Medicago truncatula: one gene and its partner. The protein of the gene in region 2 interacts with the protein of the main gene of each other region in a pairwise test. Links are inferred from orthologs where the notes say so. Each region holds a gene or a part of one and is shown on either strand. Other genes may lie near its edges.

Region 1 (16,798 bases), on a different chromosome or scaffold from region 2:
ATTAGGTTTCCCTAGATCTCACTCATTCAACATTTATATGTTGGTTTTCTACAAAGAAATAAAAAGACATGCTCCAAATTGTTGCTTGTTAGAAGTGAAGTTGGATGAAATTAACATAAGAGTCATGCTAACTTCAGTATGTCTAAAATTTATTTTAACATTAGCAAATGGTTTGAGTTTTGTTGTTTTTTTTTTAATGTGTGTGGAAGGTTTCCGTATGCAATTAATGTTTTTCTTGTTTTCCTCTTTGATGCCAAACATAAAAAGTGAGTCATAGCTTTTAAAGTTCATGGATCAATTATCTTTTCACGCTTTGGATAAGAAGATTGATTGAAATGATACGATGGACTAAGAGTGAATTTATTTGTCACGCCATCAAATTGGATTGATAATTTCTTTTGTAATATTTTAAAATTTTGAGTTAAGACATGTGTTTAATTTTATTTATGTGATAACCCCTGAACTTCTCATGACCCAACACATATTAGATCTTGACGTTATATAAACGTTTTCCTAAATTTTAATGCAATTTTTTTAATTTATAATCAACATACATAGTTGGTTTTATTTTTTTTACTTAGTCCACCTTAATTCTTTAACTTATCAACTTCTTTAACCATTAGCTCAAACAAACAAAGTTGAGCTACCGACCCCCCTTATATAGAGTTAGTCAAAAGTTTGTATTTTCTCTCTTAATTAAAGCAAATGAGTTTTATTACATGGTTTGTAAATAAATGATTTTATATTTTTTCTTTATTAAACGAATAGAAACCTTTTTACATACATATTGATAATATATTTTGTCAAAAAATATGTTGATAATATATTGCATGGGGGAGCATGGTCACGTCTATAATTTACCGTGTGGGGTGTGAATATTTTTGGACTTTGGTGGCTGAGCATTAAATTGAGTCCGATTTTGCATAGAAGTGGATCCCGCAAAAATGGGGTAGACAATGGAATTAATTAGGATGGACCACATGTATATATATGGATCTATAGAGAAAACAGAATAGTGTTTGAATCTAATGACCAGCCAGCCCCCCAAACTGTGCCTAACCTTATTATATGTGGTCCAATTCTCCTCCATCAATATGTGCTTAATTAATTTCTAGATTTTGGGTTCGAAATTTCAACAAGTCATTTCGCTATCAATTATTTTAAAGATTAACGTTGTATGCTTGGTGAGTAGATTCAAATGCAAGTTGTTATATAATGCAGTGTCATGTGTGTTTGTTCTAACAATTACTAATGACTATTAATTTACCTGAGGATGGTAGTTGAACTTGTAGCAAATTACCCACCGGTTCTTCAATTGGGCCCCACCTTTGTGTTAAATCGGTTTTGTACGAGTCCACGTGTCCTAACGGGTTTCCTTGATTACTCACAACTAATAAATGAAAATCTGAATCTAAATGATTTGACCCGTCGTTTGGCGACCCGATCCGAATATCATCGGGCATTTCAATTTGCATCAACTCACTTGGCTCTACAATAGCCGTCATTGAGGTTGCACGTCGGATACGACCTCCTGTTTCGTCTTCAGACTCGGATTCAACTTCGTCGTCTTCTTCATCTTCTTCTTCTTCTTCTTCCTCGTCTTCATCCATGTCGTCTTGATTGGGATTTGTAGAGGGTGGGTCTGCCATGGTGTACATGATGGTAGGAATGTGATCGGTTGAGGAAGTTGGGTTAGAGGTTGAGTGTTCTGAGAGTGCTGGCTTTGGCGGCAAAGAGTGACCATCTAAGAAGAAGCTCTTCACATGTTTGATGAAATTAAGGTCTTCTTGAACCTAAGAAATTAACAAACATAAGTATAAGGTAAATGAGATGAGATGCTACACTATATTCAAGTTCAACTCTCTATTCATCCTAGTGTCATTTTCAAGATATTTATTTGTCTTATATTATTTATCATTTTTAGAATATTAGTAAAACATTAATTGTATTTTTTAAAACTAATATAGTCTTATTTATTGTATTCCAACCCACCAAATTATTACACGAACATTATTTTCATTGCGGTAATGCACATCATTTTACATAAGAAATGGTATAATACTCAATAAATTTCTTGAATATGCATACCATTAGACAATCTAAACCTAATATGAGACAAATGAAATATGTTACCTTATCCGTTGTGCCAAACTCAACGACGCCATCCAATACAGGAATACATACCACAGTCTGTAGATTATACATTACACAAATTAACCATTAGATAAAACAAAGTATTACTTTGGTTTTTTTTTTACTTCCTCCTATTATATATAATTAAATGGAGTACAAAATTACAAATTAAAGTTGGATGGAGGAGTTGTTACCTGTATATTAGCACTCTAGCCAGTGGAAATTTTGCCAATGATTGAGAAACAAGAGGAAAGAAAAGCTAGTTAGTAAATTATAAGCTTCATGATGTTCAATAAATTTATAATATGAAAGCAACTTTTAAAAAATTTCTTTATAAATGAAAAATTGTCAAAATCAATAATCTAATGTACTAATTGGTGATCACCTTAGCTAGAATAGCTCTTGAAAATATTTTGCTATCCACTTCATTTGCACCCGTGAGCCATATATGCTGTCTCTTTGTGTATGCCCTTCCAGGCAACCTTATATATGGTGCAATATAATGTGTGTCAAAACACAGAAAAAAAAAATCATAATCAACACACTTGTATTAATAATATCTTCATAGTATTTCATCAACAAAAAAAATAGTATGTCTTAAATATTGTATCACCTATCACACAATTAATGACACAACAGTTTGAAAAATGACTCATCAAAAGATTAAAGTGTACTTGAATCCATGGATGTTAGTATTTTGCCGGTGGTACATCAATAATAATAATATAGTACCTAAATTTGTTTAGGTTGTCATATAGTATAAGGCCCTGTATTTAATACTACCAACTTATTTTATCCTACTTGAGAGAATAATGAATCCTATTAGAGTAGAATATAAAACAAAAAATACCCACTCCGTACCATAAATAACTAAATACTATGTAGGTATAATTAATTATTCTATTATTCTACCTTATAACTAAGCACCACTCTTAAACAAAAAAAGATTCAAATCAATGAATTAGAATAGAACAACATTTAAAATCATTTTCCTTAAAAACAATTTTTTTTTTAAACCATTCATTAAGAGTGAATTGAACTTTAAAAACGATAAATCATATAAACAAATTTTCCTACAAAAACGAAAGTTAAAATGGCCCAAAGTAGTAATAACTTCATAGCCCCTAAAATGAACCAACAATTAATTGGCTGTTTCCTATAGATTACAATGACATCAAATTATTAGTGCATTATTGTTAGTCCATTCTAATCGAATCCTACTTCTCTCAACTCTATTATGCTTTTTCTTTGTCATCAAATCTAACGTAGTATATGTAAGTACCTATATTACATAACAAATAGAAGGATTCTTATATACTTATAGCCAGCTTTGTGTATGTATATATTATTTTTATAGATATAGACTAATCTACATTATTTATGGCCTATCTAAAGCTACCTCTTATTCCATAATCGAGAACTAATCAGACTCATTGCAATATTTGGTAAGAATACACACACATCTTCATATACCGTGACCAATTGATGTTATGTTCCTATGTGAAGCTAAAAAAAATAAAAATAAAAACACGTACTGTCATCAAAATGCAAATGATATGTGAAAAGTTTGAAATTGGATAAAGACAGAGAGAGTGAAGTGTGATAGTGAAAACTTCCAAAAATAGAATGGTAGTAACTAGTAATTAAGTAGTGTTGAGATTTTTTTGCAGCTAAGTTAATTTGAATTCTGAAAAAGCATTCAAATTTGTCTGATTTTTCGAAATGAGCAACTCCCTCTATAGCAGCCGTCCTCTTCAAGCATATAATGCTCAACTAAGCAAACTCTTATTCGATAGAATCCTCTGAATATCAATCTTGTCATATTCACATATTGCATCCACAAACTAATTGCTAATTTGTAAAAATTAAGAACTAATTTGATCGATAATTTGATGCATAGATTTGACTAATCATAGAAAATTGTTAATTTTTTATATTACCGTCTCCTCAATTTTTCAACACAAAAACAATATGCACATTGTAGGCTATTTTGTCTATGTAAAAATGTATATGATATAATAGATGTTCATATTTGTGGATATATATTCCTAAAATGTTGCTGACGGTTCATAAATTCGTAGGTGATGATCGATATAGCATTTAAGCAACACTCGCGGGGGCCTCTGCAACAGTCTGCATGCCTCACCAAAATGCATATCTAACCGGGGGAAAAACTGCATTGATAATATGTATACTGCTACTTCATATGATAACTTTTAGCAATACCTCTTTTATCACAAAATTTATTTTTTTGTGTTAAAGGAAAGATATTTCAAAACCTAACTTAGCATAATTCGTACTAGCTAGTATATATGTTTATTCAATTTTTGCAGCTTGCATGATTTTTTTTTTTTTTTTTTTGCATTTAACAACAGGCTTTCCTCTCTCATGGAGATAAACCATAATTTCTCTATTCTCCTAACTAGAGTACATATATATATTTAGTGTCTATAAGTATAATAATAGTATAACTAATTAAATGATCAAGATATGCATTAAAGCAAAACTTGATCCTACCAAAGTTATTTCAATATTATTATGCTTCAAGAATTATGCTGGCAAACTTGAGCTATATATATTACTCTACTTTACTCAAAAATTAACTTTACTTATCTCTAGGACATTTGAATTTGTTATTTAAATTATCTAGTTAAAACTCATATATATTATATGACTTTTGATTGGTCGATTGTGCAAACATTTTTTCCACTCAAAATGTAACAAAATTAAACTCATAATATGAGGTTGAATATGAAATTAGTGAGAAAATCAATTAGTATAATAGTTTTTACACACTCAATCACTTATAATGTTAAATCATTAAAAATGTTTGACTTTAATCATAAATAATTTTAAAATCACACAGACAGATGATTGGTTTAAACTCTAAAAAGAATGTGGAAGTACTGATTATTAATTAATGTAAAGAGAAAGCTAGTATAGGTTAGTTTTCTGAATGAAATTGATATATCATAAAAGAGAGCTAGCTAGATAAGAAATAATGGAAGAAGGTGAGTTACTTTACTTACCCTACACCAGGAGGAAAAGAGAAAGAGACACACATCAAATAGAACCATTCAGATTCTGTTAGGTCCTCAGGTGACAAGGAAGCACATGGACGACGAGTTGGTGGATTTGTCTCTCCGGCAGACAATGATTCATAGAGTTCTCTTAGTTGCTGGCTTCTTTGTAGAGATGCTTCCTCAGCACTAACCTCCATTGGTTGCACTGTCTTTCGAGTCTTAATTGATCCATTGTAATATCCATCACCCCATACTAGAATCCTGTATATCAAATCATTGTGTTAGAGAAAATTATAAAATTCTTTATCACATAAGCTATTACTAGTCAAAGTGAATATGTTCGAGAAGTGTGAGTTCAGTAAGAGTTTCACCTTGTAACTTTAATAGAAGGAGGTCTAATGTCTTTAAGAATGACTGTAAAATGATTAATAATAAAATTTTACTTTTTTTTCGATTAATAAAATATACATAAACCCAGAGAAGTTGAATCGAACTGTTTTTATTTTTTTGGAGAATACAACTAATATACTAGAAAAATAACCAGCGGCGATATACATGATCGATGATTTTAAATTGCAGTCACAATACAAGTCACCTCAACGGCATCAAAGTTGCAATTTCAACCGCATCAGCTGCATTTTTATGTTTTTTTTGCAATATAAAAGTTTGCAGCGTAACTAAAAATTGAAATTAAAACGATGACATACATAATTTTTTTTTTTTTATATATACACACTCTTAATTATTGGGTTTGTGCCAAAAATTGAAACATCAAAAATTGCAAAAGGCATATAAAGGTTTAACATGTCTATGCAACATCACGACCTCAATAATTACCTAAATTTTGACATAATATTATCAAAGGTTAGAAGAAGACAAAGTATGTGTGTATTTTTATAAGACAAAGTAAAAAGTTGGAAGCATTAGAAGAAGAATATATAGTGAGTGAGGAAGAGGAAAAGAAAATGATGACGTACAGTTGTTGTGGGCAAAGTTGCCAGAAGAGGCTATAAGTCCACTGAACAGATTGCACCGCAGCCTGCAACATGTTTTGAAGCTTACTGCCTAATGGAGATGGAGCAGCCATTCTTTATTCATTCAGTCATTACCAAACAGTTTTTTCTTTCATTTCTCTGCAATATTTAATCATATCTAAAACACCTTTCCAAAAGTAGGAAAAAAGTCTGAAACAGGTAAAATTGGTTTCTGTTGTTTCATGACAAGTAAATAGACAACGAAAAATCAAGAGAGAAAAGATGGTAAGCTGAACTTTCAATGAAGAAAGTATATAGAATAGAAGACTTGCAGGTATGTGTGTATGGCTTGTAGGTGAGACTAAGAAAGAGGTTTAACTTTAAAAGGGTTATGACTTTGAGGTGGATACGGGAGAGATTCAATAAATACTACTATATGTGTTTGTATAAGATCATATATAGAAGAAGGTTTATTGGTTAAGAAAAGAGAAATGGTTTAATTTGAAGGATGAAGTGAAGAGTGATGTAGCAAAGGAGGGAGTATTTTTTGACTGGTTGGTCTACCAGCCAGTTTTTGGGTGCTACATATATATATATACTGATATTGTATATATCATAGTTTGGTTTGTTAGTTAGTTGTGTTAGTCATTTTGAGGGCGCCAGCTAGCTTGGTTTTTGATTGTACGAGATAATATATAAAAAAAAGTGTAGCACAAACAGTAATAAAACACAACTAGAGATTATTATGAGTACAACAATGATAAATGAAGAGTACAAGGATGATAAATAAAGACCTTTGAATTTCATACACTCGTTTAACATCATCAACATATTACATTTATCACATCTTTCTTCTTTTCTCTTTCTTTTAAGGTGTATACATTTATATGAGGTGTATACCAAACATTTTCCTTCGAAGTAATCGATACTTCATGCCTCTCATATCTCATTTGATCGTTTTTTTTTTCACTAATTTTTTTTATTAATAAAAAGTTAATGGAATAATTAGGAGGATTTAAATATAATATAATAAATAAAGGTAAGGATAATGGATTACCTTCGATCAGATTTTCACATGTTAAGATCTACAATACTCTCAAGTGGTATATTTTTTCTTAAATCACCCTTAAATGATTTATCTTTCATGTTTTTTAATTAAACATTTATTTTAAACGATTAAGATTTGATTGGACCTCTCCTTTAACTTATAAAAGTCCCAGGTTATAGTAATGATAAAAAGTAATTAATTACTATTACCATGAAGTTGTTAATTTAGAAGACATCTCAATCCCCTAGATTTTTTTTATATTCCATTCTTCATAATCATATCTACGATAATTCACATCTTGAATAAGATGTTTACGAATCATGATATGACTTTTTTCGGTCAATCCCAAGAACTCGGCTCTAGCACTGAATCCACAACTCTCATCACCTTTAACATCCACCATATTTTTCAATAAATGGAACCATGAATTTTGACATATAATCAATAGGGCTCAAAACATTATTAGGCATTGGAATCAGAATAGGTTTTGGAACCGGAGTAGACTTTGGAAACCGAGTAGGTGGTGGAAAGGGGAACATGATGTTTTACCAATACGAGCACCTTTCCTTTTAGGATATGATGACGTAGTTGGTGACGGTTGACTATCTAGATATTGAGAATCAACACGCTCCCACGAAGAAAGGTTTCGAATAGTCGATGCCACATTTGCTCTAGACCTTAAATTTTCACTTTTTTCTTGGCTCTCTTGGTTGATACTTTTCTTGATGGTGGAGACAACACTGTGTTGTCTGGAAATACCAACTACCGCAAAACCTCTTTGATTTCTAGCTTCATTTGATAAGGGACTTTCTTGAGACGTTCTTGAACACTATTCCACTCCTCATCGACAGAAAAACCATCTTCATTATTTTCTTCAGCCATACATAACCTATGCCAATGACGGTGTATCTCATCCAATAAAATAGGCTTGTTGTCACGAATTTTCACAGCAATGAAGAATGCACATGGTAGCCCATACGATGCAACATTGTCCATACATAATGTTTCCTTGCAACGCTGTTCTTCCAAAACAATGTTACCCAAAGCATATCTAGACACATAACCCCCAACCCAAAGTACAAAATGACGTCTTTGTATCGCATCTAACTAGATCACAAACATATCATGTATTTTCTCTCAGCAAGTACCCAAATCACCCACATTATTGCTCGAATATTTCTTTATTATAGCATGAGCCCCTTCAACTCTGTTGGTGGTTCTGTATCCAAGATGCAAGACATGATATGTCCATGCCCTCACTATTTCGTCCTTAACAACATCCAAAATGGGGCTCTCGACATAGGTAAGAAACTTTGGAAAATCTTTACAAACATTTTTGAACTCCACTAATGCAATTGCATATAATTCTTGTGTGGGTGATTCAACAATAAACATCTCATGCTCTCAATATCTTCTTCATTACATCACTACATCAGTGTGTTTCACCTCTTTCAAATCCTTTTTTCCCAAAGCATATCTACAGTCAGTGATGCACATGACTCTAACATTTTTTCCAACATGAAAATAACTACTTTCTGGGAGAACAGTTGCAATCACATTCATCAAAGTTGTATCCATGTCAGTCATATTTACTCTTGGAGTTAAGAAGTTTAAGCATCATTTGTAAAACCCAAACAAAGTTGTCATCTTTCTCATGTGTCAAAAATCCAAAATCAACTGAATATGTCAAATCAGTCAAGGTGACCCCAACTATCTCAAACATTGGCATCATGTACATGTTGGTTTTGTAGGTGGAGTCCATAACCAAAATTGTTAAACAACTTAATGGATGTTGGATGAGCTTAAAATATGTCTTCAATAGTAGTACTTTCACTTTGTGTTCTGGTGAAATAAACATAGTTGTGCTCCTCCAACTTTGAGATTATATAATGCATCATCGTCTTGTCACCTCTGTTCGACTTCCATATTTGTTGATGTTAATTGCATACTTGCTTGATATTTGTCTTGCAATCTTGTCTTTTGCTCTTCAAATTTAACAACTATTTTTTCAAAGCACCAAACTCTTGGTCAAGTCACATACAAGCTTTTTGTCATTCTCCTTTAATCTACCAGCAATCATGTGTCCTTCTAAACTTGGCTCCATCTCATGATTGTGAACTCTTAAGAATATTCAATCTCCAATCATTTGTTTACCTTCTAAGATATCCACGAACCATGAACATTCACCCACATTTTCTTAAACTTGTTGCCTCGTGCTTCAATCTTTTTTTCCGGCACTTTGTCATCGCCACTCCTTTCACACACTAATTGCAACTTTGGATTGATCAATTTGGATCTACATATAACAATTGTAAATCTTGCCGTATTTGCTTGACAACGTACCCAATTAAGCAACTCATCCCTATCTTTCCATTTAACTTCTTCGGGAAAAAAAATTAGTTGTGTCAACTTAGTTGGCATCAAGTGGGACGACACCGGAATCAACATATAATGAAGCTTCAACATGGACTGAAGCTTCATCAATATTTGGTTTGACTTCAACCTTAGGCGGTTTGACATCTCCGAAATTATCGACAAAAATAGGTTTTGTCTCAACCGCATCATCATCTGTGTACTCAACCATAACTATAAATATACAACACATCACGATGAATAAACAACTAACTAATGCAAAAACATTAGTTGCATAAAGGATTAAAATAAACAAAAAAAAAAAATAGGCAGTAGCATGCAATTTATGAACCATCGCATCGGTAGTTAACCACCAAAACTCCATCGGCAGTTATCTGTCGATGCCTCCATACTTCGGCACTTAATGCTGATACGTGCATGTCAGACATTTTGCGAAAATTGTCAGCAAGTTGATGAAATAGTGAGTAGGGGACTAGGTTGTTGTAATCCGCTGATATAACCGTGTGTCGGCAATTAACTGCTGAAAAATTCAAAAATCGACGGGAGCTAACTGAGGAGGAATACCTATTCGACAAATTATGATCTTTTTCATGTGTGTTTTAACTTTCTGGCAAGTGTAAACAGTAGTAAATTTCAAGAAAGAGGTGGACCTTTCTAAGCCTCCCGCGATCACAATGCCTCCAATTTCTCTCCTGCACTGCACCCCCACTGTTACGACTTACGACGCCTATATTTTTCTTTTATTTTTCTTCCTTTTCTCCTCCATAGTTTTTCTAAATCTTTCTCTACATATTTTTGATTTGACTCTCCTCCATCTAATCTACTCTTCTAAAAATATAATTTTACGCCAATAACACACCTCAAATAAACTCTTAAAAATATGAATGATGTATGCATATTTGTAGAACCATTTAGGCACATGGATTAGATAGAAGAAGCCCCATCTTGATGTATGTATGTTGTTAGTGTGTCTATATATATGATGCATGAGTTGTAGGGTGGAAGGTCACATATTCTATTTCTCCCTCATTTTAAAACTCATGTTAATTAATGAACTGGTCCATACTACTTCATTCTATAGCTCCTTAACTATTAGGTTTGTTCTCAAGACCTCAAACTCATGATAGTCAGAATACGAACAACAGGTATGGTAACATCCGATGGAGGAAGCCAAGGAGTGGAAGACTCAAATGCAATGTTGATGCCTCTTTTTCTACATCCAGCAATAAAGTAGGTATTGGTATGTGCATTCGCGATTCGGAAGGAAACCACGTCCCGTCAAAAACCATGTGGTTTTCACCACTGTGTCCAGTTAACATTGGAGAAGCTTTAGGACTTTATCATGCAACTCGGTGGATCAATGAACTTCAGCTCACAAATGTTGATTTTGAGGTAGATTCGAAAACAGTAGCTGATTATTTCAACAAGGCAAGAGGAGATAACACCGAATTTGGGTCCATTATGGAGAATACTATCCAGTTTTGTAATATCTTTTTAACAAACTCTCATGTCGAGTTTACTAGGAGGCAAGCAAATGAGGTTGCTCATGAATTAGCTAAGGCAGCCACATTAGGTCCTAGCTTCCACATCTTTGATGAAAGTCCAACATGTATTTCTGATTTAATTTTTAATGAAATGATATAAGTTTATTTTCCCTAAAAAAAAAACTACTAGGTTTGTTAGCCCACTAAATTTGCCTTTTGCAGCGAATTTCAAACTTGCCAATTAATTCTTCATGACAGGATGAGAAATGGCTCAATCAATAGCAATGTAAAAGGACCTTGCTATCAACACCATTCGATATTAATCTGACTTGCCGGATTGCTTGACTGCTGACCACAGGCAAGAAATCCAAATCTTACCCCCACATCCATTTCTTCTGCATTTGATTGCATTGCATGTTCTCTGTTGGTCCATTCACCATATTCTTTGAGAGCCTTGGTAAGTAGATAGTACGAGAAAGTAAACAAAAGATGACAACATCATACAATTAATTGCGTCAATTGATGCTTTCCATTGTGAATCTCTCATAGCTCCATTGAACCAACCTCCACCATTCAAACAGGAACATATATATCCAGAAAGCTATTCGATGAGGGGCCGAAGAAATTATAACTTGCACGCAATGATAATGCAAAACTTGCTTTCACATGTATTTTAATTGAATCACGTAATTGTGCCACTTTTTACATCATATATAATATATATACATGCTTGGTTAAGAAAATTCGTGAAAAAAAAAAACTTTTAATCCTTGAAAAAAAAGTATCCTAGATGTAATTTTTTAATTAACTTTGGGACATAAGCCTAGCTTTATATGACGAAGCATATGTAACTCTAAATTTATTCTCAAAGCTGAAAGCAGATGGAAGATAGGTGATGGTGAGGATATCTCGATTTAGTATAACAAATATATTGCAAATGATGTTACACTTATTCCAGAGGTTGATGGGGATATTTTTCTCTAGCTGATCTAGTGGTCTTAGATTGCATGCTTAATGATCGCAAGGAATGGAATCTGTCTTCCATGCACCCAATTTTTTATCGGCAGGTAGTTGAACATATAGTGAAGACACCACTCTATCCATCAGTGATGACAGATCGACTCATCTGAAAAAAAGAAAATCATGGTGAATACTTTGTTCGTAGCGCATAACATTTCTGTGTGTAAGAATCACACTTTAAAGTACAAGGCTCTTGGAATCTAATTTGGAAGATCAAGAATCCCCCAAAGGTAAAAAAAAAAACTTTGTGATAAATCTATAGGAATTGCTTACCAACTCGTGTGCGTCTAAGAGATAGAGGAGTCACATCTCCTATTAATTGTACACTACGTACTGTGGACAATGAAGATATACTTCATTTATTTTTTAAATATCCAAGTAGCTTAAATGTTTGGAGTATGTTGCTTTTCTTTTCTTCTATTTCTATTTTAATACAATAAGATATGGAGAGCAAGAATATTATCTTCAAAGCATTACAAGATTTATCCAAGGAAGATGCAACTTTAATTTGTTGTGTTGTAGTGTATCTAGAAACAAAGAAACAACCGAGTATGAAACTTTTATATTTGGAATTGGCTTAAACTTTGTGTTTTTTTCTTTCTTTCTAAATTTAGCTTAACTCATCCTTATAAAACTATGGTGAAGTCTTTACAACTCTAATCATGTTTTACACTTATTCATTAGCCCATGGTCTTTATGGTTAGCCCATGGAACTAGAATTATCAAGTCAAATGGGAGTTTATGTATCCATTTCATGATTTATTCATCAGGACACGAGATAAATGGTGTTTCTTCCTCGTCCAAATTGACAAATCCGAAAGAGAGTAGTTTTTTAAAAAACCAGTAAAAAAAAAAAGGTAAAACCAGCACTAGAGTCAAATTGCCTAGTCCAAATTGTTTGAAGCAATTGGGTCACAAATTGTTTGGACTGGAGACAGCATGAAGCACATTAATCCCTGCATGATCTTTGAAATTCTTTAACTGATGGAGAAAACAGTCAAGCATATTTGTAATACTAGCTGCTGATAGTCAATTATCAAAAGTTTCATACCAAGAGAATTTCAAATTTCAAACCAGTGAAACTTTCATCAACTAGTTACTTTATTAGGAATTTTATCTTACAAAAAGGAGTCCTCAAAATCCTAGTTATTTCACAAAACATAGTACCAGAATGTCATAAAAGCAGCAATGCCACTTAAAATACAAAGTGTATCCAACCTACTTTCACTTCTCATCTTCTCCTCTTTTAACTCATTTTGCACTTTTGAGTACATATGACAAGATTCAATAACTTCACTATAATTCTTGCTCCTTCTGCAGCTAAGTGCTTCTTTAAGAATATGCAAACTGTTTTTTCCATTAACATGAGCACCTTCCATGTCTTCCAACTGCATGCTAAGTTCTGTTAATTTTAAAGTAGTTTCAAACCCCTCTTCTTCAATGTGAACCACTCTAAACTTCATGGCAAGGATACACTGCACTACTTGAGAAGGAAGAATGTCTTTGGCCGGTAGAACCGATCCAAATCGGATGACAAAGTCTTTATCCGTCGGCCAATGTCTTTGACCGTCAAGAGGACTCCAGCTAGCAAGATTAGCCGCTTGCTTTATTTTCTTGTTTACTAATATCCAACTAAGAAGCAGACCATCACGAAGCTCGTGCCATAGTTTCCCGTCTTTTCTTTCCCTTTCCATTGATGTAATCGGTGGAAGACCGTTGGAAACAGAAAGGGTCACCTCCCCCGCATTGTTATCATCTCTATCAGCGTAAGTGAGAAGATCGATACGAAAAGGACAGTTGTAGAACCAACCACCGTTATCGTTTGCGTTTGGAATTCCAGATAGAACTTTGGAGCAGATTGGTTTATCCTTAAACCTAATGTCTACGATGGAAACAAAATCTGATGGGGTGATGCTTTCAAATTCATTTGTATCTCCGTAGTATTCTGCTTCAGTCCAATCATCAGGATACTCAAGATGGTTGTTCCACTGATACTCTCCGACTTCCTTGTTAACGATAAGAGGAAAACAATCGGCATAGAATTTTCTGAAACCACCAATAGAGGATATTAAACTTTTAACATCCTCCCTTTTGGTTGAAGGCCACACAGATGCACACACGTTTTCCCATAGACTCTCTTCTTTTGAGATGGAACAAAATGCTGCACATGTGCAAGCTAAACTAGCCAACGCAGGGCCATCAAGCCGTCTTAATATGTCATAGAAGAGATCACTATTCAATGAGGTCATGCTATCAATCGGTGCGATTGACATAGTAACAATCCTGGCTGTCAAAAAATAACAAATTAAAAAAGAAGAAATTAGAACATGCATTCTTTAGAATACAAGAAAACAAATTAAATGAGTGATTTTCAAACATTAAACAATAATGGGGCATAAAACGTTTTGCTAACATGGAATTCACAATTATGTTACGACTAGTGCACCAGAACAAATCCCTCGAGGACACACAGGAGCATGTTAGTTTATCAGAACCACCAAAACTTTGCATAGTAATCTGAACAGATCAGTTGCAAACTAAAAGGTTACAACAACAACAACCAAGCCTTTTCCAACTAAGTGGGTTCGGCTACATTGATCAAATTACGCCATAATGTTCTATCATACACCGCATTAATTTTCAAATCTTACCTAATAGTTTCTCCGAAAGGAGTAATGCATGTGAGCTTTCCTATTACTCAGTTAACTTTCCTAATAAGTTGAATTCAAAATAAATGTGAGCTTAATGCTAAGATTAGTAAATGGATCAGTAATACTGATACATGATTGGACATGAAAGAGTAAAAAAGAAAGAACTCAATATTGATAATGTCAATGCCAAATAATATACTATCATGTAGACGCTCCAATATCGCAGTCCAGGTGAAGGTAAATGAGTAGTTATAGATACAGCAAGTCTGCAGTTACAAAAGAATACGTCGGGAACTTGCTATCTAGGTAACTATAACTGACTAGTAAAATCCTGTGACTCCTGAGAGAATTTTGAAACTGTTCTTGTGCATCTAAGAAGTAGTCGAAGTAATACAGTGAGGACAAAATGTCAGTGTTGAATTATTTTTTAAAATTTAACTAATAAAAACATAGGACCAAAAGTACTATATTCCTTGATAAACCTTCCTAGCACCAAATACTCAGTTCACTTTTATATTGCTGAGAGTAAGTGAGATTTGACAATAACAACTAACTAATTCGGCACCCAAATATCAAAGTAAGCTACTTAGAAACATGTCCACACAAACTCATCATCAGGATAACAAACAAAACATATGTAGCATTATCGATGAGAAGAGGAAACTTTCACAAGGATCGTAAATGAATTTAGATATCCTAAATAGATGTAGAAGCTTAGGGCTTGTTAAGTTATTTAGAAAATGAAAACTGAAAATGTTTTCTAAAAGTAAACATTGTAACGATCATCTATGAATTCACATATACGCATTTACAACATTTAATTGATGGCAGATTCTAGTCAAGGTATCAGATACTAAGATTTCAAAGAAGAACCCACGTATTGGACTCAACCTCATACATCTTGTGAAGGCAGAAGAAGAAAAAAATACCCTCTTACATCTTGTGCATATTCAATCAAGAAGCCCCAAGGAGTAGGCCTAGGACCATGTCTAAAGTGAAAAGTCAACACCATTGAAATTGAAATTGAATTTTTGGTTTTGTTTGAAAACTAGTCAAAAATGAAATTAGGTGAAAAACTATTCAAAACATCCTATGTATTGTATAACATTAAATACTAATAGTTACCTCCAATTTCAGCACAAGAAAAATCAGCACTGGTTTTTGCCCAGAAATTTTTAATTTCATCAACTTGTACATACAAAAAAAAAGCTATCAGCTTAATTAAGAATGTGTTCGGATAAACAACTTAATTAAACAAGTATAGCATATGTGTTTATCATATAAATAGGATATAAGAGTTTCTAAAAATAAGCGGAAAACAGCTTACCTATATGCCAAAATTGTGAGAGTTACTTGGAAAATGAACACTTTATACATAACATCTTCTCAAATTAGGTGTCAACTCGGTTGTAAGAGTTTGACTTTCTTTGTAATCTCAAGAGACACATGCCAAATCTCAGTTGAGCCGAGTTAAAATAAAATAGTTTACTATCATCGTTACTAGTAATAATTTCTTCTTCCCCGTTTAAAAAAAATGCCAAATTATTTTCGTATAACCTATAATAACCTATAAACTGTTTTCATAAGTTATGTTGGAGATTTTATGAAAATAAGCTGAAAACAGCTTACCTATATGACATAACATCTTCCAAACAATTTCATAAGTACTAGTGTCGGTTGATAAATTCAAATAACTCAAAACCCTTTATACATACCAGCAGCAGAATAATTTTTTTACAACAACATCACAATTCACAAATTGACCAATAAACTTAAACAAGATTGAGAAAAACCAAACATATATAAAAAAATGAACACTATATTGTCAAATTTAGCAAGTCAAAATGGTAAGAAAAATCAGAAAAAAATAAAATAAAATTGTGAGTTGTAGTTACTTACCTTAAATATAACACCCGCTTAATGATGAACAACACAAGAAAACTGTCTGAAACAGGAACATAAGAAGCAGAGGAAGTGAAAGAAGAGAAGAATAATGATTTTGAAGAGTGAACAATAATATAAAAAGATTGGGTTAAGGGTCACAATCTATATAGTTAAGTTTTACATGTTCTACTTTTTTTGTCTGGTTGTG
Region 2 (16,079 bases):
TCGGTAAACTTTTTTTTTTTTCATTTGAAATACAGAATTGCATGCTAAAAAGCAAATACCAGAGGGACCTCAACAAGTGGGAAATTCTCAATGAAGAGAAGAGTTTTTGGGAAGAGCTTCAAGTTAACATGCAATTGTTGTAGCAGGTTTTCATCACCCTTTATCTCTAAATCTCTCATAATGTTTAGCCTGTAGTTTTTCTTGGCGGGATGGCCTTCTTTCGACTCTAACTACTGAACTATTCTCCATTTATTTAAACTACTTTAGCTCTACAGAACTTCTCCACACATGCTCAAATCACCTAAAACAATAGTCTACCATGTTTTCTATACGGGGCTACCACAATTTCCTCTTTTCTGCAGTGCCAATTATACTTTTTAATTCTTTACCAACATTCAATCATATATGAAACTGCAGCTCTGATAACAGGGGAATAAAATTTTCTTTAAGCTTGACTGCTACTGAACTTCTTTAACTAAATATCTACATATATGGCAAGGATGACCCCAAACCACATCAAGGCTTTAGCAAAAATATAACAAATAAGTTATTTATTAGATTGCAACCACTCTGGCATATAAACCATCTTTCTCAAAAACTAATGAGGCGTCAAAGCAGATGATCACAACTACTACTGAGACATGCATACATACAAGGAGGCGGAGTGTTTAATTGGCCAACTCCATCTTCAATTGAACAAGCAAATGCAACATCAATTTCTGCTATAAGTAAAGCAGGAAGGTAAAACAGTTTGTCCCACCCAACTATCAGAGTACCATTTCACTCTGAATGAGATACATCACTAGTTTAAAACCACCAAAAGAATCCATGCCATGTCATAACTCTGAAATTGATACATGATCAAGTTAAACTAAACTACTCATCAATCACAATTCACAACAACACAACACAATGAGTAATTTGTTTTCCATAACTACAAGTAAGTTATTCCCTCACCTGAAATTCAAACTCGAACCCTCAAAAGCTGCATCTTATTAGCAAAAGCAATAGCAATCCAATCAGGCTGAGCAGCACACCACTGAAGTTGATTAATTTCACAACCCGCAGAATTCATAGTCATTGGATCAATCCCATTCGGACCAGCCACAGCCGGCAACTCCCAAATAAGAGCATGCGCATCATCCCCACCCGAACAAATATGCTTCAAACATCTTGGAGCCCAAACAATCACATTGACATCAGCGTGATGTCTCTCCAATTCCACCACAGGCGTAGTTTTAGATCTCATTCCGTTGATGTGATTTCGTGTTCTCTCAACTTCATGATCGATTTCTCAACGATTTGTTTCTTCGGAATGTCTAGATCAGATCGGCTAAGCACCACGTCATTGTAATGAGAATCTTGTCATCTACTATTGATTAATCCATTGTTCAAAAAAAAAATACTATTGATTAATCCAAATTGAAAATTTCAAGATCGTTGAGCATTTAGGTTCTGCTCAAGAGATTTATGCGGTCGGTCTTGGTGCCATTTTCACAATCTCCTTCCTCGTATGTGGTCAACAATGGTTATGTTGTTGTGCGGTAAGGTTTGGCGCAACAAATTTTGTAGAGATTCATATATTGTTGAAGGTTATGCTGTTTATTTTGAAAGTTTGATGGTCGGTTTCAACTCTTGAGGTTTTGCTTGAGTTTTAGATTGAAATTATGTTTGAAAGAAATGGTTTGCCAATAGTATAATTTATTGGTTTAGGGGTGCTGTATAATTTTGATTACTGGTTTAGACAATAATACAAGTACTCTACACTATACCAGAACCTCAGCAAAAACAGTTACATTTTCCTGAACATTACTTATCAGTAAATAGGTAAACTTTTAACCATTCTTGACGTGGAGGAAACAAAGATTAGTAGTCATTCTTTAAAAATGCAAGCATCCTTCGAAATACATTTCTATGAAGGGAATGTTATCCTTTAGTAGTACAAAGGGAGGTGGTTCAAGCAAAGTATTTAAGAACTTTCTGACCAATACCAGGATGTCTCCAGAAAAGGAACGAATGAGCAAGTAGGTAAGGCATTTATGAATGAGCGTTGCTAAATAGCCCGACAGATTCAAGCACGAAATTGCACGACATGTTCAGTCATAGGCTATATACTTTATCAATGACTTCCTTATAGCTTATGTTATGCATATATATATGCTTTTGAGTTATTTTGTATGTAGTATATATTAAAAAAAATACTGCCACCAAAGAAATACATGGATAATCCACCCATTCTAGTTATAAAACACATGCAGAAGTGATTTGGATAAAGACCACCGCATAAGAAAGTATTTTGTTGTGATTTCTCACAAGTAAAATTTAGGAAATGCAATATTTATCATTTTGGATCAAATCAAAGTTAAGAGAAAAAGCTAAATGACGACTATAGAACCATTCACTTGTCAAAAAAAACTATAGAACCATTCGTGCATATTCCACGACAAATATTGTCGTGCTTTTGATCATTTTCCTTTATGAATATGTTTATATTGCTTCTAAAATGCTAACAGAGAATAAAGGCCAACTTATACGTGTATAAACCATATATCAAATCCTAGAATTGATCCACAAAATTTTAACTGAATTCAAGCAATGAGCTTCGCAAAAATTTAACTCAAACATCAATATAGTAGACCAATTCAAAAGGGGTGGTAAAGTGTAGGTATATAGCTACTTAAAGCGCCAAGAATTGAGTATATCCTTCTGATGGAAAGTTTCATGGTTATGTGACTTATTCATGTAAATTATTCAACTCATGGACAAGTCAACTGTGAATGTTGAAAACCATAGCTAGTATAAAGACTACCAGAACATCAAACCAGAAAATCAATGTTGAAGACGGGTAGTGATATAGAAAAGGAAATATTGTTATAAATGATAAGTGATACCTAAAGAAGCAATTGTTCATGAGGGTAACAAATTACAATAATCTGGACCATGTCAATAAAATTGATCCAGACAGAAGCATAAGTTTCTTTTTAAAAATAACAAAATATCAAAACCACAAAACTTTTTTTTTTTTCATTCGAAATACAGAACAGCACGCTGAAAAGCAAATACCAAATGGACCTCAACAAGTACACAACTGTAGTAGTCTAGGAATGTCATGTTTTTATACTTCAGAACTAAGATTAATACTAAGGATGAAGGACTATGCTTCTTTGAGTAAATACAGCAACAACAACAAACAAGCTTTGAGTAAAAAGGCATGTCATGTAACCTTTATCTCTAAATCTCTCATAATGTTTAGCCAGTAGTTTTCCTTAGCAGAGTGACCTTCTTTCAACTCTAACTACTGAAATATTCTCCATCTATTTAACCATCTTTAGCTCTACAGTAATTCTCCACAGTACTAAAATCACCTAAAACAATACTTTACCATGTTTCCCATACTAGGGGCTACCACAATTTCCGCTTATTTTCAATCTTGTATTCTATAACCACTCACGCACTGTTCTCATTTCTGCAGTATCAATTATACTTTTTAAATCTTTACCAACATTCAATCATATACGAAACTCCAGCTCTAATAACAAGGGGTTAAGTTTTCTTTAAGCTTAACTGCTACTGAACTTCTTTGACTAAATATCTACATAAGTGCCAAAGATAACCCCAAACCACATCAAGGCTTTAGCAACATTTAACAAATAAGCATTCTTTAGATTGCAACCACTTGGGCATATAAACCATCTTTCTCAAAAACTAATGAGGTGTCAAAGTGCATGATCAAAACTACTACTGAGACATGCATACAAGGAGGCAGGTTGTTCAATAACACAAGAAAAAGAATAAACTTTGACATTTAACAAGGATGATCTATCTAGATGTCAGTGTTGTCAATCGCGGATTGCGGAAAACAGCATTTCGTTGAAATTCTGCTATGCTATCGCGCCGCCACAATAGCAGCTATTTGATAACTAAATAGTGGATCGCAAAACAATAGCAATTTGTTTAAATTCCGCTGTCCGCTATTTGACATTACTGCTAGATATGCAGTAACTAAACTATTCAATTGGCCAGTTCCATCTTCAATTGAACAAGCAAATGTAACCTCAATTTATGCTATAAGTAAAACATGAAACTAAAATAGTTCGCCCTACCCAACAATTACAGTAACCAACCCACTCTCACATATGAGATACAGCAATACTTTAAGACCACCAAAAGAATCCATGTCATGGCATACTTCTATAATTTAATAGATGATCAAGTTAAACTAAACTACTCATCAGTCACAACTTACAACAACAACAACAACACAATGAGTAATTGGTTTTCCAGAACTACAAGTAAATTATTCCCTCACCTGAAATTCAAACTCAAACCCTCAAAAGCTGCATTTTATTAGCAAAAGCAATAGCAATCCAATCAGGCTGAGCAGCAGACCACTGAAGCTGATTAATTTCACAACCAGCAGAATACGTAGTCATCGGATCAATCCCATTCGGACCAGCTACAGCCGGCAACTCCCAAATAAGAGCCTGTGCATCATCCCCACCGGAACAAATATGCTTTGAACTTCTTGGAGCCCAAGCAATAGCATTAACACCAGCGCGATGTCTCTCCAATTCCGCGACCGGTGTAGTTGGTGATCTAATATCCAAAATCACAACTTTATTACTATCCATCAAAATCGTGGCCATATACCTCAAATCCTTCTTGTTCCAAGCTAAACGAAGCAAAGGGGTATCAGGTTGCGGACTTTCATAGATAATTGTTGAATGCTCTTTATCCCTTAAATCAAAAATCCTAACAGACCCATCAGCAGAAACCGAAGCAAAAACCCTTGATTCCCCCCAAGCAATATCATAAACCTCTTTATCATGCGCAATTAACTGCGTTTCAACAACGCCTCTTTCAATGTCCCAGATAGTACAAGTAGTGTCAATACTTGAAGTTCCAATTCGTTTGGGCTCAATTTCATTCCAATCAAATGATGTTAAAGGAGCACAAAACTCACTGGTTTTGCTATTGTTGAAAAGAGAAAGAGCTTCAACGGAATTTTCACGAACTTCCCAGAGACGGAGATAGTCACCGGAGGTAGCAAGGAGGTCGGAGGAGGTTTTCTGGAGAGAAGAATGTGTGGCGGGATGGAACATGAGTTTGGTTGGTGGGTAAGGGTGATCGAAGGAGAGTGAAGGTTGAGGTTTGAGTGAGAGGGTATCGGGGTTGAAATTGAGAATATCGATGCGGTTTGTGTATTCTTCGATGAAGCTTCCGACGGCGATACGTTGTTGTGGGGAATTTGTGTTGGGAGAGATGGACATGGCGTAGAGTGGGTATGGGGAATCGTATGTTACGGAGTTGTTATCGGATCGGAGATGGGATTCTTGTGTTGAATTATCCATTTTTGGTGGATGGTGGAAGAAGGGGAAGGGGAAGAGAGACAGGGAAAAGTTAGGTGGGAAGTGAAAATGAGAAGATGGGGTGACTGAAGGAAGGGCACGAGCCTTAAAATCTCAACTGCCTTATTCTTCTTCACTTGACATTCTTCGTTCCTCCTACTAGCATAATATATGGTATGCGCCAAAATTGACGAGAAGGTACCTCCACGTCCCCAATTTGTGTTGTGTTAGCCACCAAGAGCATGTCCAATGCATCTACATTATGTTATGGTAGATCAACTCTTGTGTTGTGTTTAGTTTCCGAAATTATAACTACCACGATAGTTTGAATGTATCGAAATTTTAAAATAATTTTTAATTATTCATTTCGTTAGTTAAAATAGTCTCTCATAAAAGTAGAATAGGTTAAGTCAAGCTACATTCTAATAAACTCAAGACTGGCCTGTCTAAAATTTTAAGACTTAAGTCTAGTTTGCGGTTTATCATAGAGTTTTTAAAGTGAAGATTACAAACTCAATTATATCATTACTCACTTTATTGAAATATACAACCTTCTTAGCATCCAATTCAAAATCCACATTTGTTACTTGTAGAGCATGCATTCATCGGTAGAGCTGTCGAAAATGGGCCGGTCCATTGACCCATGTTTTTGGACCGGGTCGGGCCTAAAAAACTACCCCAAAAATGCACTCGGGCTTTTTTGGCCCAAGCACATTTGGGCCATACAAAAGTTGGGCTGGGTTGGGCCACCGGGATTTGGGCCGTCCCATATTTCATTTGATTTTTGTTAAAAAAACAATATATTTTTTAAAGGTTAAAATATGTTTTTGGTCCCTGCAAATATGGCAAGTTTGGGTTTGGGTTTTGGTCCCTAGTAATTTTTTTTTTAAATTCATCCGTGCAAAATTTTTTGTTTTAAAAAATAGTCCTTGTCCCCACTTTACTGATGATTTGGCACATTTTTACCTACGTGGCATTCGCTGACTGTGCATAAGTTATACATGTGGCAATTAAAAATTATATTAACATTTATAAAATAAATAGGTAAAACATAAAATAATTTTTTTATTTTTAATTAACAACATAAATACATAAAGGGGATAAAATTTTCTTCTTCATAACTACCATTCTTCTTCGTGAATCTTCTTCTTCATTGCAAATCATTTTTTGCATCACTTTCTCTTCCATCTATTAATTTGTTTTCCTTCTTTGCCTCGTATGAAATCGGAAATCTCACTCATTCCTTGTCAAAATTTCACCTCACATATTCAATCTATCTTTCATATTGTTTTCAGATGAGTGGTTTCTCCTCATTCTTAACCCAAATATGAACCCATTCATCCCCACTATTCACAGAAAGGAGAAAATGCTCTAATTTTCACAAAGAGGCTCCACTCATCTCCCACCGTCGTGAACAACAACAACAACCTTCATACTTAAATCTGGCCTTTAAACACTTATCTAACGTTCAAACTCAAATTCAAATTATCATACAAAAGAGATGACTCTGTTGGAACCTGAAGCATGAATTTGTTGCTTTCTCAAAATTTGGATATGATTGAAATGGGTTTGATTTGGTTGAGGGGTTTAAATGGGTTGGATTGAAAGGGGAGAGGGGAAATATTGCAGAGAAGAAAAAGAAATAGTGGTTTTGTTACGGAAAAATTGGGGACCGAGAGAGTGATTTTTTTTTGGAGAACAAGTTTTTTGTTGGATGATAAATTAAGTTCTTCCGTCTTTCCCTGGCCTCCCCAACACACTCTTGATACGAAAGAAACCTCCCGCCATAGAATAGAGAAGAAAGAGATCTAAAGTCTGGGTCCCCTCGATCACCCTTCCCTTGAACCTGAACTGGTCGAGAGAGATGAACCCGCACCACATTTGATAACCTTCGAACTGAAACCCCCAACTAGAGATGGAATTCCAGAACCTAAACAACTCAATGGAGAGCTCCGTGACCGGTTCAATTCAAGGGAAGGTCCACCAATAATGGAAAGGCCATTCCCCTCCCTATCTGTTTCTTCTTTTTGTTCATGTGGATCTTGATTTGAATTAAGTTTAAGTTTATTGTTGGGTTTTGTTCATATTCGATGATGAACTAAGTTCTTCCCTTTTTCCCATTGAAATCTTTCATTATTTTTGATTGGATTATGAATAATTAGATGAATATATGTGATAAGTTTTGGATGAACATTTGGGTTGAAGATGATGATATGCGTTACTGATAAATGTTTTGGATGAAGATCTTGATTAAAAAAAAATTGGGTTGATGATGAATGTTTAATGTTTTTCTTTTGATTTTGGTGGGTTTAATGGTGAATATGATGAAGGGGAAGAGAAGGAATTTTTAAAAACAATTATTTTTTATTTTATTTAATTATATTTTGTAAAAATAACATATTAAATTATTAAAATGATATATAAATAATTAAAATATGTTAAATGACAGATGTTTGACACGTGTGCATGATTACACAGTCAACGAATGTCATGTAGGCAAAAATGCGCCAAATCATCAGTAAAGTGGGACCAATGACTATTTTAAAAAACAAAAAATTTTACATGGATGAATTTCAAAGTTTTTTTTACCAGAGACCAAAAGCATATTTTAGCTTTTTTTAAAAATTATCAACTAAATTAAATTTTATTAATAAAAAATATTAAATAAATAAACTTAATAAATATGAATAAATTTAGCTTAAAGTATTAAAATTTTAAAGTTTATAAATTATCAATTTGATTTAATTGAAGGAAAAATCTATAGTTTAACTATTATTCAACGTTAATGTAAAAATTATTTACATTTTTATGTCCATCCAAATCATATTTTAGCAAAAAAATAGTGGTGTGTAACTAATACATAAAAAATACATATAAAAGAGTGATTAAATTTAAAAAATAAAACTAAAACGGGCCGGACTGACCCATGGCCCACACGGGCCGAGCTTGCCCATTTATGTAGTTGGCCCACGCGGGTCAGACCGGGCCGGGCCAGCCCATTTGACACCTCTATCCATCGGATAGCATGTGAGAGTCTCAAAGCTTCTCATCTGTTTCAATGTATGATTTGTTGATTGCATTATCTTATTTTTAGTCCTTAAATAAATGGGTCTTATGTTATCGTCAAAAAGGAAAGAAAATGTATGATTGTATTATCTTATTTTCAGTCATTAAATAAATGAATATTAATCCATATGTTCTAGCTCAACCGGTAAAAATGCTGAAATTGTTAGACCGGAGTTCGAACCCCGGTACCTCCACTTGTGTGTGAGTTTATAATAGTTTTATCATTCCGTCTAGGCTAAAATATGCTTTTGGTCCCTGCAAATATGGCGAGTTTGGGTTTTGGTCGATAGTAAAAGAAATTTTTGAAATTCATCCCTGCAAAAAATTTTGTTTTTTAAAATAGTCCTTTGACCCAATTTCTTGTTGATTTGTCTTATTTCAGCCTATGTGGCAGATGCTGACTGTGTCAACTCGCATATGTCGCATTAAAGTATTTTATAAATATTTTATAAATCATTTACTAAAATAAAATTAAAATTCATAAAAAAAAAACATTGGTTTTAGTCAATATGTTTCATCTTCTTCTTCGCGTGTTTGTTCTTCCGGTACCACCACCATCAAGCCCTTCCTCACAAAATGAAAGAACACACAGATCTACATTTTCTTCACATGAATCTTCAACCAAAAGAATCTTATCATCTTCAAACCAACACTCCATTCCAAACTCATAAACTAATCTAATTTCAACCCAAATCCAACAACTCGTTAATTCTTTATCCAACCTTAGAATACAAAAAACTCAAAGACCCATATTATTCTTCCGTCGTCATCTTCCTTCCAACCCTCAAAGTTACAAGATCCTTCTCTAACCTGTCTCTGAAACCAAGTTTTTACTCTTTTGCCACTGCTCTATTCTTAAACCCATAAGCTTTTTCTAGTATCTTATTCTTTCCGGATCTTGTTATTCTTGAATTTGGGTTGAAGATTTTTCCAAGATCTTCTCAAACCGGATCTAGAGAAAGCAGTGATGTCACTGTGTATTGTGGCAAACATGAATGGTTTCGTTTCAGATCCAATTTTATAGTGTTGAGAGGGAAAATTTGAGATATGGAAATTAGGTAATTTGAAATTAGCTGTTTAAAATTGAAGCAATTATAACCTTGTGATGCTTCAGTTTAATTGTTGTTGTGCCTGTTGGGATTGTTGTTGTGCTTGTTTGGTTTTATCTGTTTTTGGGAAGCTTCTGTTTGACTGACTGGTATGAGGAAGAAGAAGATGAAAGTAACATGAACTCTAATTTCAATTCTCCTCCCTTTATATTTTAATAAATTTAAAATATAGAAGATTAATACAATAAATAAAATAAATAAAAACATTTTCTGATTTATTAATTTATTTAATTCCTTTTAAATTCCACGTATTTGCCATGTGGCTAACTTTACACAGTCAGCATCTGTCACATAGGCAAAAATGGGACAAATCAGCAAGAAAGTGGGTCCAAGGACTATTTTAAAAAACAAAAAATTTTGCAGGGATGAATTTCAAAATTTTATTTTACCAGGGACCAAAACCCAAACTAACCGTATTTGCAGGAATCAAAAGCATATTTTAGCCTTCCGTCTATCTAAAAAAAAAATATATGAATAATATTTTATCGTCAACTAAGAAAGAAAATATAATGCAATAATACAAGCTTGCTGTAAAAGTAAATATTTTTTTACAGCTAAACTAAATTAAACAATGTTTTTATACACACAAATGATCTTTCAACATCTTCATACCTTCTACTTAAGTTATAAGTTTGCGTTGCTAAACTCAACAATCAATAAAATTAAAATTAAACACTTTATAACTAACATTTTCTATAATAAATGGCAACTGTATTTGTTTTTAGAGGTGTGAACCGTAATATTTTTATTTCATTCGTATTTTTCACGGCAAAAATCACTTTTAAAAAGACTTTTCATTTAATAAACTTTTAAAAAACTTGTATAGTCAATTTATCATTATAAAAGTCACTTTTAATGTTCGTATTTTTCTGTTCAAAAAGTTATTTCAACTTTTTTTTTTTGGTTGTATTTTTTCTGCTGTAAAAGTTATTTCAAATTTTATTTTTTTTTGAAAAACAATTGTTTTAGCTAATACTTGTGGTAAGTGGTGACCGATGTAAATATAATTTTTATAGTAAGTCAATTTTAATTAAGTGCAGTTATTATGAATTAGGATTCCATGTGGGTTCTCTAAAAAAATACGACTCAATGTGGGCCAAGTCAGATATAAGAATTGAGCCCAAAAATAGAGAATATCCTCTATCCACACCTTTAGACTACTAAGAATATATATTGCTAAATAATCCAATTTTTTTCAAAGTTATTATTATTTTTAAATATTTTCAAAGGTTTTTTTGAGGCAATTATTTTTCGAATTCTGCTCTTCTCAAAACTGATTTTGCTCGCTCGCAGCTGAAATACCAAAATTGTCTTTGCGTGAGTTAACTCACGTAGGTTTCGTGACTTAAGTTACGCATGGGTATTTTTGGAAGTTTGGTTGGGAGCGAGCAATTTTTTATGGGAGACGAGCAGAATTCTTATTTTGCAGGATAATATATCGTTTGATTATTTATTTACTTAGAGGTAGGGATGTACAAAACATGATCCACTACGTTAATCAATCCTATAAGGTTTGAGTCACGTCTGACCTAAACATCAGAATAGAAAAGTATAAGCCAAAAAAGGAGACAAGACTGAAATTGCACTGAGCTCGAGTTGACCCTTAAATTACTTCTCACTTCCCAAATACTAAGATGACATTTTCTTGTATATATAATTTCATCATCACTCATAGTCTCTCGAGTCACACTTACTTACTACACCCTATGGTCACTAATATAAGCAAAAATCCACTTTTTAGATACATTCAATTAATGATGTATGTGATCTTTATTATATGTCACATTCATCATTAATTGAATGTATTTAAAAAATATATTTTTGTTTATATTAGTGGCCGGATGGTGTATCTCTTTTCAAAAATATAAATCATCACACTTGTTGACACGAGGGAAGAAGAAAAGAAAAGCAGCATCACGAGGGAGAGTAGTTAAGATCCTATCACTTGTATCACTTACTCCTCCTATCACATTTGCATTTATTTACTCACTAGAGTGTCGTCGACAAATTGTAAATGAGAAATCTTCATCCCCTCCCTCGTAAACTTGAACCCCTTAAACATATTAAGGTTCACTACATTCTTCATCAACCCACTAAATCATTTCACCACTTGAAGAAACAAGAAAGAAGCAAGGGGGTCCCCTTGCTTCAATCCTCTTTGTATGTTAATCTCTTCCGTTGGACTTCAATTTACCAAACTCGACATACTACCACCACACACACACACGTCTTCGTCCATGCCACCCATTTTTTACGCAACCCCACCCTCCATATACTCTAAAAATCACCAATCCACCGAGTCATAAGCCTTTTCAAAAATCTACCTTAAGAATAAAACATTTTCTTTTACCTTTCTTTGAAAAATCCAGCACTTCATTAATTACCATGACACCATCCACCAAGCTATGACCTTTAGGAAAAGCCAATTGAAAATGAGATATAATAGAATTCATCACCCCAGATAATCTCAACGCATGCGCTTTTGAAAGAAGTTTTTACAAACTCCCTAAATGAGAAATAGGACGGAAATATTTCTAAGAGAACATAATTTCAACCTTGGGGATCAATGCCACAAAATAAGATAAGAGACTCCTTGAAATATCTTCATTGCCATGAAATTGATCAAACATAACTCTCACGTCACTTTCAACAAATACCAAAATTCTTGAAAAAAACAAAATTTAATCTGTCTAGAACCCGACTCTTATTCCCATCACTTAACCACTCACTCAAACTCCTCCACTGAGAACGGTTTAATAAGTCTCATATTATCGTCTATAGAAAGCATCTTGAATTGAACCTCATTCAACATCCCCAAGTTGACGGGAAATGATTTTTGAAATAATCCTATATCACCCTAGGCACCTTCGTTGGAGATCGCAACCACACATTACCCACCTTGATGCTCTAATGGAAATTTATGGATGTATGATGTTAAATTATAAGGTACAATGACCGTATTTTGAGATATATGTAGGTTAACAATTCACAACTTTTCATGCGAACAAAATGTTGCCCAGGCCGTAGGATTTTCTCTCACTCACTATGGTATGAAAATTGCTCTTCTCCCGTCACGTTTTGCTCGCTCCAACCAAACTTCAGAAAATACCACGCGTGAGTTAACTTACGCAGGTGTTAACACCACGTGACTTAAGTCACGTTGAAATACAACTTACGTGACTTAAATCACGCTGAAAATTCACACTGAACCCCCAACATGAGTTAACTCACGCTAGTTTTCTTTCACCCAAATTCCAATTTTTTTGTTCGGTGTATTGCAGCTTGTGTCTGACTCTTCTTGCATCTACTCACGGTGTTTGGGTGTTTTGCATAAAACATTATAAGGTCTGATTTCTGAATATTGTTTGATGAATTCTTGAGATTTCTACTTTTGCTTGAGTTTTAGATTCGTTCAAATTTTGTTTTTGCGTGTTCTACCTCTATTTGTGAGTTATTCAGATTTTTTGATTCAACTGAAATTCTTTCATTTGACAGTGCTCTAGTTTTATTTAGGTTTCTTTGGATTTGGAAATTCACAAAGAGAAAGTGAATTTGGCATATACGATTTTCATGTTCACATAAAGATTTTTTTTTTTCTTTCTATTGGCTTATTGGCAATTTCCAAGGATTTATCAAATTTGGATGGATTTAAGAGAATTGACATACTGGGTGCAACCATTGATCTTGTGTTTTCACTTTTGGATGATACGATATGTCTCACGGAGTAGGATACCACATGTTTGTTTTGATAAATTTGTTGTTCCATCAATGATCAATTCTATTCGGTGAAGACAATTGTTGTGGTTCTTTGCTTACTTATGGTTTATCCAAAACTGTGAAGGTTTAAAAATTGGAATATGGGTGAATGAAACCAGCATGACTTTAGAGTGATTTAAATTTCGTATTGTCTTTCAGCGTGACTTAAATCATATGGTATTAACACTTATAAGTTAACTTAGCAGATGTATTTTCGAAAGTTTGATTCGGAGCGAGCAAATCGTGAGGGAAGAAAAGCAATTTTCCTATAGTATTATCTCTTATGATTTCAAAGGGTCAGCTTGTGGCTATTTAATTGTATTGATAAATTCAGTTCGCGCATTTAAAGACGTAACAGTATGACGTCATATGTTGACGCAAAATCATTGACATAATGCAATGCGTACATTTTTTTTTTCTGAACTAGTTAGTAATCTTTTTTTTTTTTTAGCAAATAATTTATTTATTTTTAGATCTCCGGCTTTTGTTCTTGCACAAAACAATCTTTAAAATGCGACTTCTCAACTTATGTTTTTTTTTTAGAAAAAACATCAAAGATGTCACACTTAAGAATAAAAACATCAATTTTATTTATTGCAGTTTGGTGTACACCAGTACTAAAAAATCTGGTTAAAAAAAATAGTGTATAGTATAAGCTTAGTTGGCACTGGTATTCAAAAAATATGTTCATACATATAACACTTGTATTATAATTCAACATTGTTAAATCCATTTGAGTTTGTCGTTTGATGGTGTTAACTTGAAACTTTAAAGTGTATTTCTCTTCTTCAAAATTTCAGGTTCAATTGTTTTAATTTGGATGAATTGATTTAATTTATTCAAAAATTAAAACAATTCAACATAGTTATTGCCTTAACAAAAATAAATTAACATAGTAAGAATTTTGTATCGGGACCTTTTGTGTTTTTTTTTTCTTTTTTTTTTCAGAATATATTATATAAAAAAGCAAACTAAGAAAACAAGAGAAAGGAGGGGGACCATACCAAAACCGCCTTAGTAATTTACAAATCTATAGTTAGACATTCGTAATTTGTATTGGACATAACTAGCTCTAATGCAATCATGGATATTAAGCTAAATTGTTAGATGATTAGAATTTAAACCTAACTTTGCCAAGATACCTGCATTGTTTCCCTTCTCTAAACACATGGGATGCTATAAAATTCATTGACCTAGTTTTGATAATGCAATTGTTCCATCTGTTTCTTAACTTCCAAGGAACAACATAATTGTTTTTGAAAGCTTGTACCGCCAAAGTAGACTTGAGAATGAAACAACCTATAGTTAGGACCTTTTGTGATTTATGTTGCAATCAAACTTGAGAATAAAAAAAAAAGTGTCGGAGAACAAGAAACCGGTAAAAATGAGTTTTTCTAAAAAAACTAATTGAGTGTTCCTAAAAGATTGTAACATATATCTTTCAGTCACTGTTATAAACAAAATTTCATTTTTTAGATGTATTGAATAAATGATATATGCTGTATATAATATAGATCACATACATATGATCGGAGGGTGTAGTAGTGAATACGAAGAAGAAAACATGATAGATAAAAAAGCTGAATTTTGTATCTCATAACTGAGGAAGGAGGATACAAATAAAATTTATTTTGCAAAAGAATTATATAAATCGGCCGATAGGAAGTCGATTTAAAAAAGATGATATTTTAAGTCTTTGGTACATTTTAATTTTCCCAAAGTCGGTTATTTTTTAAACCGATCTAAACAGAGTTGCTTCATTTTCAAAATTGTACGGTTGTTTTTTTAAATTGGTTCTTTTTTTTTAATTAATTTAAAATCCTGTTTTAAAATGTATTTTTTTTTTTTGTACTAGTGTACAACAAACTACAATAGATTAAAGGAGATTAGTCACTTTAATCCTTGAATAGAAAATGAGTCGTCACTTTAGTCTATGAATGCAAATAAATTGCAAAATAGTCCCTAAATGTAGACTCTGTTAGTCAATTTAGTGCAAAGAGCTCAATAGAGCTAGACCTCCCAAGGTATGGGCCTAAAAACAATTTATAATTTAGCAGAACTACTAAGTACTATCCCACTAAAAAAAATCATTTATTCTCATACCACGCGTTCCATCACCATCACTCTATCAGACTTTCCTTTTCTTCTTCCCCGATTTGATTTCCTTTTCTTCTTCTGTTGTCTTGTTTTAGGCCTATTAGAATTGAGTCCTCTTACTTTTGGTGTTAGATAGATGGTTTTTTTTAGGGTGGTTTGAGGTTCCTCATGTATACGCTATCACCTTTAGGTGTATCGCATATATATGACACCTTGTATTTATCTTTTAAAAAATTTAAATTGAACATTGTTCTTTTAAAAAAAAATATGTTTTTTATTTCATTACAAACATTTTTTCACTTACAGAGTCGAGCTTCTCATTCGTAGGAACGACCATGTACACACATTCAATTCTATAAAATTTGATATCGGATAAGAGAAGAGATTTGGCCAAAACTCAACCACACTTGGACCCTTCCTTATATGCTTATAGTCGTATGAGGCACGAAATTCAAACGATAAGAGTGTAATTTAAGTTCAACTGAGTCACCTGGTCGGTTTAGACAAAATGCAAAAAAACACGTTTGGAATGAAGTGAAGATGGAATTGTTTCACCGGCTACTTGAAAAGACATTGAGGAAGATTATAACCAAATATTCTGAAGGGCTTATTGGTTGATCATATTTAAGACCAAGTCAAGCTTAAGCTAAAGGAAAATGATAACAAACCAAAACAATCAAAAAGGACCCCACAAATTCTAAGT

What was found.
Region 1: the proteins of protein TRANSPARENT TESTA GLABRA 1 (region 2) and basic helix-loop-helix protein A interact in binary tests that used the Arabidopsis thaliana proteins (3 or more experiments, as listed by UniProt). The link is inferred for Medicago truncatula from reciprocal best matches to the Arabidopsis thaliana genes TTG1 and TT8.

Annotation. Positions count from the first base shown.
Region 1 is NC_053042.1:36,008,085-36,024,882, forward strand, and holds the start of basic helix-loop-helix protein A, read right to left. Parts: upstream 6,697-16,798; 5' UTR 6,244-6,696; coding exon 6,134-6,243; intron 5,418-6,133; coding exon 5,163-5,417; intron 2,616-5,162; coding exon 2,519-2,615; intron 2,343-2,518; coding exon 2,328-2,342; intron 2,191-2,327; coding exon 2,134-2,190; intron 1,794-2,133; coding exon 1,268-1,793; intron 1-1,267. Other genes in the region: F-box protein At2g27310, read right to left, coding at 13,207-14,328. UniProt on the Arabidopsis thaliana protein: Transcription activator, when associated with MYB75/PAP1 or MYB90/PAP2. Involved in the control of flavonoid pigmentation. Plays a key role in regulating leucoanthocyanidin reductase (BANYULS) and dihydroflavonol-4-reductase (DFR).
Region 2 is NC_053044.1:45,898,556-45,914,634, forward strand, and holds protein TRANSPARENT TESTA GLABRA 1, read right to left. Parts: upstream 5,594-16,079; 5' UTR 5,352-5,593; coding exon 4,323-5,351; 3' UTR 4,031-4,322; downstream 1-4,030.